Ovis aries: one gene and its partners. The protein of the gene in region 2 interacts with the protein of the main gene of each other region in a pairwise test. Links are inferred from orthologs where the notes say so. Each region holds a gene or a part of one and is shown on either strand. Other genes may lie near its edges.

Evidence for each region.
Region 1: the proteins of TFIP11 (region 2) and THAP8 interact in binary tests that used the Homo sapiens proteins (3 or more experiments, as listed by UniProt). The two-hybrid records come from large-scale screens. The link is inferred for Ovis aries from reciprocal best matches to the Homo sapiens genes TFIP11 and THAP8.
Region 3: the proteins of TFIP11 (region 2) and LATS1 interact in a two-hybrid assay, tested with the Homo sapiens proteins (2 studies listed by BioGRID and IntAct). The two-hybrid records come from large-scale screens. The link is inferred for Ovis aries from reciprocal best matches to the Homo sapiens genes TFIP11 and LATS1.

What each region holds. Positions count from the first base shown.
Region 1 is NC_056067.1:46,019,544-46,023,296, forward strand, and holds the start of THAP8 (THAP domain-containing protein 8), read right to left. Parts: upstream 2,399-3,753; 5' UTR 2,290-2,398; coding exon 2,207-2,289; intron 1-2,206. Other genes in the region: WDR62 (WD repeat-containing protein 62), read left to right, coding at 2,985-3,161.
Region 2 is NC_056070.1:66,369,628-66,373,380, forward strand, and holds the start of TFIP11 (tuftelin-interacting protein 11), read right to left. Parts: upstream 2,307-3,753; 5' UTR 2,243-2,306; intron 648-2,242; 5' UTR 639-647; coding exon 430-638; intron 1-429. UniProt on the Homo sapiens protein: Involved in pre-mRNA splicing, specifically in spliceosome disassembly during late-stage splicing events. Intron turnover seems to proceed through reactions in two lariat-intron associated complexes termed Intron Large (IL) and Intron Small (IS).
Region 3 is NC_056061.1:73,957,973-73,960,906, forward strand, and holds part of LATS1 (serine/threonine-protein kinase LATS1), read right to left. Parts: intron 1,639-2,934; coding exon 1,129-1,638; 3' UTR 1-1,128. UniProt on the Homo sapiens protein: Negative regulator of YAP1 in the Hippo signaling pathway that plays a pivotal role in organ size control and tumor suppression by restricting proliferation and promoting apoptosis.

The DNA of each region.
Region 1 (3,753 bases), on a different chromosome or scaffold from region 2:
ACGTACTGGAAGAGGGTTATCATTTTACAGAGTAGTGGTCATAAAGAGAAGAACTTTCTGTGCAGAGGCCCTGGGGCAACAAAGTGCCTGGCATGCTAGAGGAACATCAAACAGGCAGGGACACTGGCATGGAGTGAATAAGGGGCAGGAGAGAGGAGACAAGGCCAGACAGTGGGGATCCAGTGCCTGTAGGGCTTCGTGGGCTTGCTTTCTGCCTGCTCCAGCCTCACCTTCTTGTCTTTTATACAGTCAGGTGGCAGCCAGGGGAGGCATCTAAGCCCTGATCTGACTCAGGGGGTTACCAGTCCCCTGTGACTGCACGTGGAAAACAGACTGTGGGAGCAGCTTGTCAAATGGAGAGCCTACTAAAATAGTGCAGTCAGGAGGTGGCCAATGCCAGGGTCGGGGCAAAGATGGGGGAGAGAAGTGGTCAATTCTGGATAGACTTTAAAGGAAGAGCCTGGACTTCCCTGGTGGTTAGTGGTTAAGAATCCACTTGCCAATGCAGAGGACATGGGTTCAACACCTGGTCCAGGAAGATTCCACGTGCTTCAGGGCACCTAAGCCTGTGGACCACAACTACTGAGCACACTCATGCAACTACTAAAGCCCCCACACCCTGGCGCCTGCGCTAACAAAAGAAGCCACCACAGTGAGAAGCCTGGGTACCACAACTAGAGAGTAGCCCCCACTCACCTCAAGTAGAGAAAGCCTGTGTGCAGCAATGAAGGAAGGCCCAGTGCAGCCAAAAATAAATTTAAAAAGAATTTTTTTTTTAAAAGGAATGCCAACAGGATTTGCTGATGGACCAGATGAGGAATGTTTCCTGGCCCATTTAGACTAAGGCCACCAGGGACAAACCTGGAGTCTAATAAAGTCAGGTTTATTTACCATGGCAATAAGTGAACTGCACACCAGAAGTACTGTGGGGAATTTCATCAAACAGAGGAAAATAATTATTATCGGGGTTTGCATGCTAAGTCGCTTCAGTCATGTCCAATTCTGTGACGCTATGGACTGTAGCCTGCCAGCTTCCTCTGTCCATGGGATTCTCCAGGCAAGAATACAGGTGTGGACTGCTGTGCCCTCCTCCAGGGGATCTTCCTGACCCAGGTCTCTTACATATCCTGCATTGACAGTTGGGTTCTTTACCACTAGCGCCACCTGGGAAGCATCATTATTGGGGTTTGGGGGATGGGTAAAGTTTAGATGAAATGTAAGTGAAACAGTGTTTGGATAAGATCAAAGCAGAGCAGAACTGTGAGCAAATGGATCAATATCAGACCTGGATTGCAAAGTGGGCCCAGGTTCTGTCTCCTTGGAAGCAATAAAGTTTGGATAGATATGAACTACTGTGTCCAGAAACCCCTTACCTGAAGCTTTGAACCTGGACTGTAAATCAAGGCTGCTTCTCTGTGTCACAGCGACCTAACTTCTCCAGGCCTTAAGTAAGATGTTTTATTCCTACTGTTGTAATTTCAAACAGCAACGTTTGTGATAGCCTATGATTTTAGAGAACAAAGCTTCCTAGTAAAAAAGCAGTAGTTGCTTAAAGAAGGGAAGTTTTGCTACTTCACATCTGCAGCACGTCCCTAAGAAAAATTTTTTTCCTATTAACTCTTCAGCCAGTTTTTCCCATCTCTGTTATCCCACCTAAATAAATTAGAAGGCAGGTTTTTTGGGGTTTGTTTTAAAAATTCAAGCTAAGTTTTACTTTCTCAGGTGTGAGAAAAAAGTAAAGTTGGTTTTAAGCATTTCTAGCCTGAAAGACAGTAAAGGATGGAAAGCTATTAGATAGGAAAGCTTATGGGAAGTTCTGGGAGAGTCAGGAGGTCGATTTCGGATGTTTTGAGTTTGAGATGCCTCAAGTTCGTGGGGATGACGAGTGGGCAACTGTAAGCTCTTTCTGAGCCTGGACCAACCTCACTCCTCTACACAGCCCTCCCTTTCCTCCGTTCGCCCCGTTCACTACCTGCAGTTAATCTTCTATCCCTGCTGTATCATACCTTTGCACGTTTACGTGTACCGTTTTTACTGCAAGTAAAACGCGGGGAACATCGTCCCTTCAGCCAGCTAACCCTGCTTCCAATACCTGCAACCTGGACCAGAAGCCTGGCGCCGCCGCATTTATCCTCGGGCCCCGCCCCACATTGCCCCGCCCTTAGCCCCCGCCTCCCTCTAAGCCCCGCCCCTCGCTTGCGCTCACTTGTAGAAGCTCACAGGGCGGTTGTCCGCGCCCAGCTGGCCCGCAGTGTTGGAGCAGTTCGGAGCCCGGCAGTACTTGGGCATGGCTGTCCAGCCCAGCTGGGTTTTGCCCGGTCTGCAGCCGCACTTTGATCCTCACCAGGCGCCGCCGAACCCCGCCCCACCTGCGCGCTTGCCGCCTGCCTCACGTGACGGCCCTTGGGTCCTCGTCACATGCGGAGGGAAGGAAAGCTGCGCCTGCGTATTACGCGCCAGACGGCGTTGCCACATCACGTGGCAAGTGGATAAAGCAAAGCCGGCTCTGAGACGCGGGCCTTCATCACGTGTTGGGGAAGAGGTGTCGTCAAGACCTTTCTGAGTCTGCGCAAAGTCTTCAGTCTTTTTTCGGCTCCACCCTAGCTTACATCCCGGCGACTGCTACTGCGAGGATAGTCGGCCTAGGGTTGGAGGTAGGGGGCTTTGGCATTAGCCTCGTAAAAGTTCAAAAGTGAAATTCAGTGAATGATAAAAACACAGACGGGATTAAAAAAAAACTCCACAACGTTCGATCAAACATCTAGCAAAGAAGCCGTGGCTCCACCCAGCCAGAACCCCCGCTCCGCCTCTTAGCCCTCATTGGTCAAAAGCGCCGCCGGGTAACCCTGAGATTGGCCAGACCAGCAGCCCCCCGCGCCCAATGGGCGGCGGCGCCGGCTTTCCCGCGGCCGTTCGCTATTCAAGTGGACCGTGGCGGCTGCGGCGGTTGAGAAGTGTAACGGTCGCCGAGCTCCGACGCGACGATGGCGGCCTTGGGGTCCGGAGGCTACGCGCGGAATGATACAGTTGAGAAGCTGCCATCAGTCATGGCGGGAGTTCCGGCGCGGAGGGCCCAGTCTTCTCCGCCCCCGGCTCCACCGCTCTGCCTCCGGCGGCGGACGCGACTCCCGGCGGCTCCCGAGGACACGGTGCAGAATCGGGTGAGGAGTTGCTTGCCTTATCCATCTCAGTTCCAGGTTCCCTGCTCGTCCTTGGTCCCACCCTTAAATCTTTGGCCCCGCCGACCAGCCCCCGGCTGCTACCCCTCTGGCTGCTCTCTGGCCTGCCTTGTCCCTAAGCCCCGCCCCTAGATGAGGCTCCTCCCACTTCCTCGTCTCCTCCTCTCTCGGGTATTGCCCATCACCCCTAGTCCCACCTCTCAACCGCTGGCCCCGCCCTCAGTCTTAAAATTTTTTTTTTTCTGATTGAATGATCATTGCTTTACAGAATTTTGTTCTCTGTCAAACCTCAACATGAATCAGACATAGGTATACATATATCCCCTCCTTTTTGAACCTACCTCCCGTCTCCTGCCCCATCCCATCCAACTAAGTTGATACAGAGCCCCTGTTTGAGTTTCCTGAGCCATACAGCAAATTCCCATTGGTTATCTATTTTATATATGGTAATATAAGTTTCCATGTTACTCTTTCCATACATCTCACTCTCTCCTCCCCTCTCCCCATGTCTGTAAGTCTATTCTGTATGTCTGTTTCTCCACTGCTGCCCTGTAAATAAATTCTTCAGTACCAT
Region 2 (3,753 bases):
CCCTCTCCCCCGTCTCCCCATAAGACCACTCACACCCTCCTGGGCGCCCTGCTCCTCCCATCAAGGGGCTCTGCTCCCTCCTGCCCCTCACCACTCAATCTTCCCTGACCTCCCAGAACGGGTCAACACCCGGAAAAGTACTCCCCCTCCGGTCCTACGTCAGTTACAAACTTCCATTTGTGAGCCTGCCTTCATCCTCCGGGGTCTGGGCTCCTGGAAGGGAAGGACTGGGGCTGCAGCACAAGGCTTTAGATACATGATCGCTCACTCGTGATCGATCGGTCAGTGAGAGAGCAGTGCTCTGTCTGAAGGAGGAACTGGGCTCCCTGGCTGAGGCCGCAGCTAAGGGGCTCGGGGAGGCCGGGAGAGAAGCGTACTTAGCAGGGTAGCTCCCCAACGCCTGGGGAAAGCGGTCCGCGCCAGCCATACCGTTTGCCTCCAAAGCTGGGCCTCTCCTCATCCGAGTCTCGCTCTGCCCACACTCCGTAGGTGGCCTCTTCCTTGGTCTGCCAGTGGCGCTGCCGGTTGGGGTTGAATTCATTCTGGAGATCCCAGTCGGTGATCTCAAAGTTCTCCCGCTCGTCCTCGTCATCATCCATGTGGCCTTCGCCGTCCCGGTACAGGTGGGACAGCGACATGGCCCGTCACTGAAGGGAGGCAGGGAAAAGGCACAGTTTGTGACAAGTCCCAGGGCAGCAGCAGAAGGCTGCCCTCACAACTTCCTCCAAACTAAAATCCACTGAAGTCACTGTTACAATTCAATAAAGCAGACGCTAAAAACGTATTTTACAAAACAGGTACCAAAACAGAATAAAAAAGACCAGTCCCAACAGTCCATGTGGATAAAAACATATTTCCTTCTCAATGTTGTCAAACATCACCCACACGCACATACACACAAACCATGTAAAAACAATTTAAGGATGTTACTCTACGGATGACTGCCTCACAAATGAGGCAAACATCTTCCTGGATATTATTTTTTTCTATTGCTGAGTGAAGAGTTTCATCTGGACTTATAACAGTTGAGCAAAGTGATTTCTTTTTTTTTTTAGAAAACACTTATATATAACCCTCAGGTTTTCTTCCCCAGACAGGAACCTCTTTTGAGGCACTAGAAGGCAGTAGTGATTATGAATACGACCTTAAAACAGCACACATCTGTGAACCGGAATGCAGCAATCCACTCAGGGTAGCTGGGTGATGAGATTCAGCTGTCTCTTAAGTGGATTAACTACAGTACCAACCTTAGAGAAGGCTTGTGCAGCAGAATCAATGAGATGGCTCTTTCAAAACACTTAGCTCACAGGAAGTGCCTGTTACTCTAGTCCCAGATTAGGTCTATGGCCCCTCCTATTACTGGATTAGCATGGAGCAAAGTGATTGTGAAAGCAGGTGCTGAAATCACACAGACCGAGTTCAAATCCCCACTCTACCTGGTACTCAATGCATGGATATTAAATGCAGACCATGTGCCAAGCATGGGGCACCGCAACGCAGTACATTAGGTGCAGGACAGCGCTGTGGCCTCCGTCTAGCAGCTGCAAAAAGCAGGCTTCAGGGACAGCCAACTCACAACACTTCTAAGGCGAGTTCAAACTCTGGTCAGCTCTGTGGGAAAGTTTTCCCTACTTAACTCTACTCAACTCACTGGTGCAATGGTTGGGTCCTGCCGGTCCCAACGTCATCCAGGCGCGAAAAAGGTGGGAAATACTCTCAGAGGAGGCGGCGTGTCCCAGATACATGGGAGTCGCCGATCACCGCCGCCTCCTCGGGCACAGGGCATGGTAAAAAGCACGGAGCTGTCACGAGTTACAGAGCCCCCAGGAGGTGCTAAGTAAGCCCTTGCTGGACGCCTCAGGCCGATAATCTAATATAGGCATCAAGGCACCTCTACGAGGGAGGTACTGCGAGCGCCTTCGAACCTCAGACTTCAGTAAAACGAGGCTGAGAAATTAACTTCCCTAGGCTCCACGGCTGGTGAGGCTTGACACCAGCTGAACTGCAGCCAGGGCTCGGCGTCTCGCTGCCGCGCCGTCCAGGCCCCGCGGTGGAGGTTCGGGGTCCAAGTCGGCCCGGAGACCTCGAGCGGCCCCGCCCCCGGCCCGCTGCGGCCGAGCTGTCTGCCAAAGGGAAGAGGGACCGGCGAGGCCGAGGCCCGCTTCCGCGAGCCAGAGTCCCCTCTCCTACTGGCACGGACACCCCCGCGTCCCCTGTCCGTCCACGCCCGGGCCCAGCTCACCTCTCCCCGGCTCAGCGGACCAAACTCAGAGCCCCACTCCGTGCGAGAAACGCGCCACTAAGGCGCCGGAACGCGAATGCGGCGCACCAGAAATGACGTCACGTCAGCCGATGTGACGCGCTCGTTGCCATGGCAGCAGTGGGACGCTGGGGCGGCTTTAGATTTAGAGCATTTGAGTTATTGATATGGTGAAGGTTTTCGCGGCCGAGAACGGCTAAGGGCTGTTTCTCTGTTGTTTCTTGTCGCGCTCACTTCTTCGTGACGCCCGCCTCTGACGACTGGTACGGACGTCGCCGAGCCACCCTGGCCGAGGGAGATTCCTTTGTCAGCCTGAGATTCTAAATCTGCAAAATGGGGATATAAGACTAGCTCCTGGGACATTTGTGCATGAGACATTTGCGGTGGCGTGGGGACGGCACATGACATTCAAATAGGAATAATGAAGGTCAAGACTGTCTCCTGGATCTTCGAGTCTCTCAGTATAAGCACGGTCGTGGGCCCGGAGCGGTTGCCTTTTACAGGAGTTTGATTAAGTGAAGGATTAAATGGGCAAACTCCCAAGTATTCTGCCAGGCAATCTTTTCATTCTCTTCCTTTCCAACAGGTTGGTAAATAAATCAGTTCACTGATCTAATAAAAATGTACCTAGTGCCTACAATGTGCCAGGCTCCGGGAATCAAAGGAACTGACAAGCAGGGACACTCCTAGAGAAACCCTCACCAGCTCTGGATTCCGCGTCAGCACACAGGCTCTAGAGTTCCAATCTCAGCTCCACCACTTAACAACTGTGAAACCAGGCAAGGCATTGATTACCTTTCCTGAAGCAAAATGGTTGTGATAAAATAGGTAAGCAATTAAAACTGTACCTGGTACATAACAGATGCTTAGGGAGTGTTAGCTGCTAATTTTACCTTTTATTTTCTCTCACTCTATCTGTATGATGAAAAGACCTAAGCTCAGTTCAGTTCAGTTCAGTCGCTCAGTAGCGTCTGAGTCTTTGTGACCCCATGGACTGCAGCATACCAGGCCTCCCTGTCCATCACCAACTCCCTGAGTTTACTCAAACTCATGTCCATTGAGTCTGTGATACCATCCAACCATCTCATCCTCTCCTCCCAGCTTCAATCTTTCCCAGCATCAGGGTCTTTTCAAATCAGTCAGTTCTTTCCATCAAGTGGCCAAAGTATTGGAGTTTCAGCTTCAGCATCAGTCCTTCCAATGAATATTCAGGAATGGTTTCCTTTAAGATGGACTGGTTGGATCTCCTTGCTGTCCAAGAGACTCTCAAGAGTCTTCTCCAACACCACAGTTCAAAAGCATCCATTCTTCAGCACTCAGCTTTCTTTACAGTCCAACTCTCACATCCATACATGACTACTGGAAAAACCATAGCTTTGACTAGATGAGCCTTTGTTAGCAAAGTAATGTCTCTGCTTTTTAATATGCTGTCTAGGTTGGTCATAACTTTTCTTCCAAGGAGCAAGCATCTTTTAATTTCATGGCTTCAGTCC
Region 3 (2,934 bases), on a different chromosome or scaffold from region 2:
TATGTATTTTTTCCTAATTACTAATGGCCACCTTAATTAGGAGTTACATAATAATAATTTTTTTCACCAATTAATCTGACATAGGTAAAATGCTGCCAAACAGCCAGACTTTCCTTTGCCAGTAACAGTCCATGTATGCAGCACTGTTTTGAAAGAGCAAATCTATAACATTATTGATGACATAATCCAAACTATCACTATATAGAAAAGGTACTCACAAGTAAGTTCTAATCAAAGTTTTATATGAAGTTGAAAATAATCTCTGCTTAAAATGTGGAATTATTATTATTTTTTAATCTCAAAGTCAAAATATGAAAGATCTTAGCTTTAGTACTAAAACTTTTAATTTATGGCAGCTTTATTCCCTTTAAAAACTTAAAGCAGCATTAAAAATACCAGTATGGAAAGAAAAATGTAGTGATTTGCTTCCTTCAAAGTCATTAATTTTTGAGATATGTTAAAAAAATTAAATATTCTACACAGGGGGAAAAAAGATAAGCTGCACTATTTTTCATTTGGATGAGCATACTATATTTCATTTTTGTATTTCATATTTTATATTCATATTCAACTTTGAATTTATCAAATGTGAATTATACAGATTATCATTAGCCTAGGAACACTCACCACCATGATGCCTTCATTTCTATAGCTTATTTTTTCTAAGAATAAAGTTATGGGGAAAGGAAAAAAAACCAGCTCTGTAAATGTGGGATATATTTCATATTTGGTTAAAGCAAGATAAAACTAAAACTGTCTTTCAAAAAAATTTCAAAAATTCTTGTTTTTAAAAATTATTTAGCATTATGTACACATAGAAAACAGGCTTCTCCTTTTAAACAAAGCACTATTTTTTATTTTAAGTACTTTAAGTACCAAGAACTGACTATAATATTCAGCTCATAATTTACTTTCTTTATAACAAATTTTTTTCTAAATTACTGACTTAAAAGGCTGGAATAAATTAATATTTAAAAGGATTTCCCATAATTTAGGAACATAAAATATTGTACACAGAGCACACATACATAGCTCTGTCATATTTGCATAATTTTACTCTCAGAGCTTCAAAAAACCCTGCGTTTCAGGCCTTTTTGCCAATCCTCATTATAATTATTTCCTAGTGTGTCAAACATACACTAGATCACGATTTTTCATCTCTGAGCCTGTGTGCTGATCATCTTCATCTGACTGCTGCTCTGAGCCTTGTGAATTAATATATTCATATTCAATAGGTTTTGGATAATTGTAAGGGTAGCCATTGTCATCAAAAAACCTCCGAAAGGTAAATTCATAGAAAGCATGTTCAGGGTGCTTTCCATTTTTATACCATCCGTTGAGAGTGTCGTTTACATTTTCTTCCTCATTATCATCACTCCGTAACTTGTCAGGATCAACAGGATCAAAATTTGATGTATCTGTTGGGTGTGTGATTTTAGGAATGTATGAAGCAGATTGCTGTCTCAGGTCACTGGAAAAATCAATTGTTTTAAAAAATGGATGAGCTTTTATTTCATCAGCACCATTCTTGCCTAAGCGATCTTCTGGTCCTCGGCAGAGTTTAATAATAAGATCAGAGGCTTCAGGACTCAGTTTAGCTTGCGGTGGGATGTGAAGAGATGTTTGCCAGTTGATAACCTTTAAAGAAGATTTTTAAAAATTAGAAGGAAAGAGGTAAGAAAAACAAATTTCCTCCAAGTTTTATATGAAGAAGTCTTACTGGACTATTTGTGTGTTTTTAAATAAATTGCATGGTATTTCACATTCCTTCACTTTATTTTTTTGGTTTGTTTTTTGGCCACGCCACACAGCTTGTGGGATCTTAGGTCCCGGACCAGGGATCAAACCATGCCTCCTGCATTGACAGTGCAGAGTCTTAACCACTGGACTGCTGGGGAAGTCCCTGAAGTTACTGTACTTTCAAACTCTTTTTTCTCTCTGCTGTTGAGACTGCATAATTTCTATTGATTTTTCTTTAAGTTCACTCATTCTTTCCTCTTGCCGATATCATACTATCTGGATTAGTGTAACTTCCTCTTAAGTCTTAAAATCAAGTAGCTGATTCCTCAAACTCTATCCTTTTAAAAACTTGTTTTTGTTATCAGTTTCTTTGTCCACCCAAATGAATTTTAGAATTGGCTCACCTATTCAATTGATTATTACATATTACTCTCATACCCTACAACTGTATTAAACTCACTTATTAGTTCTATGGAGGTTTTCACAGATTGCCTGAGATTTTCAATATAGAAAACTATGCCACCTGTGAATAAAGCAAGTGTTTTTTTTCCTAACCTTTATGCTTTTCCTTTCATTGCTGTATTACACTGGCTAAGACATCCAGAACTATGCTGAATAAGACTCAGACCAGACATCCTTGCCTTGTTCTTCATCTTTAGGGAGAAAGCATCCAATTTTTCACACACAGCACCTACACAAACATATTTGTATTTCTACCTATGCATTTATTTCGTAATACATATGCATTAAAATGAAGGCAAAATAAAGATACTTTCAGACAAATCTGACACAAACCTGAGAGAATGTATTACCAGTAAACCTGTAACAAAAGAAATTCTGAAGAAGTTTTAAATATAGTGTATTAAATGAAGTGACAGACAGAACATAACTTGGGTAGAGTGTCACAGAAGAGACAGTATGTCAAGACACACTCAAAGAATGATTAAAAATGCCCAGGAGTGAAACACAAAGGAGGGAAAGTTGTGAAACATGGGAGAGAAAGAAGGGTATTCCGTACAGAGGGAATGGTATGAACACAGGAACAGAGGAAAGACTGGGACTTTATAGACAAAGCCACGAAAAGGTTTCTTAAATGGGATAATTTATGATCAACATTGTGAGCAGCTTTTCATTTAAATGCTAGGGAGATACAGACATTTGTTAGTAGTTTGGGGCCAGAATGTACGTGCAAGG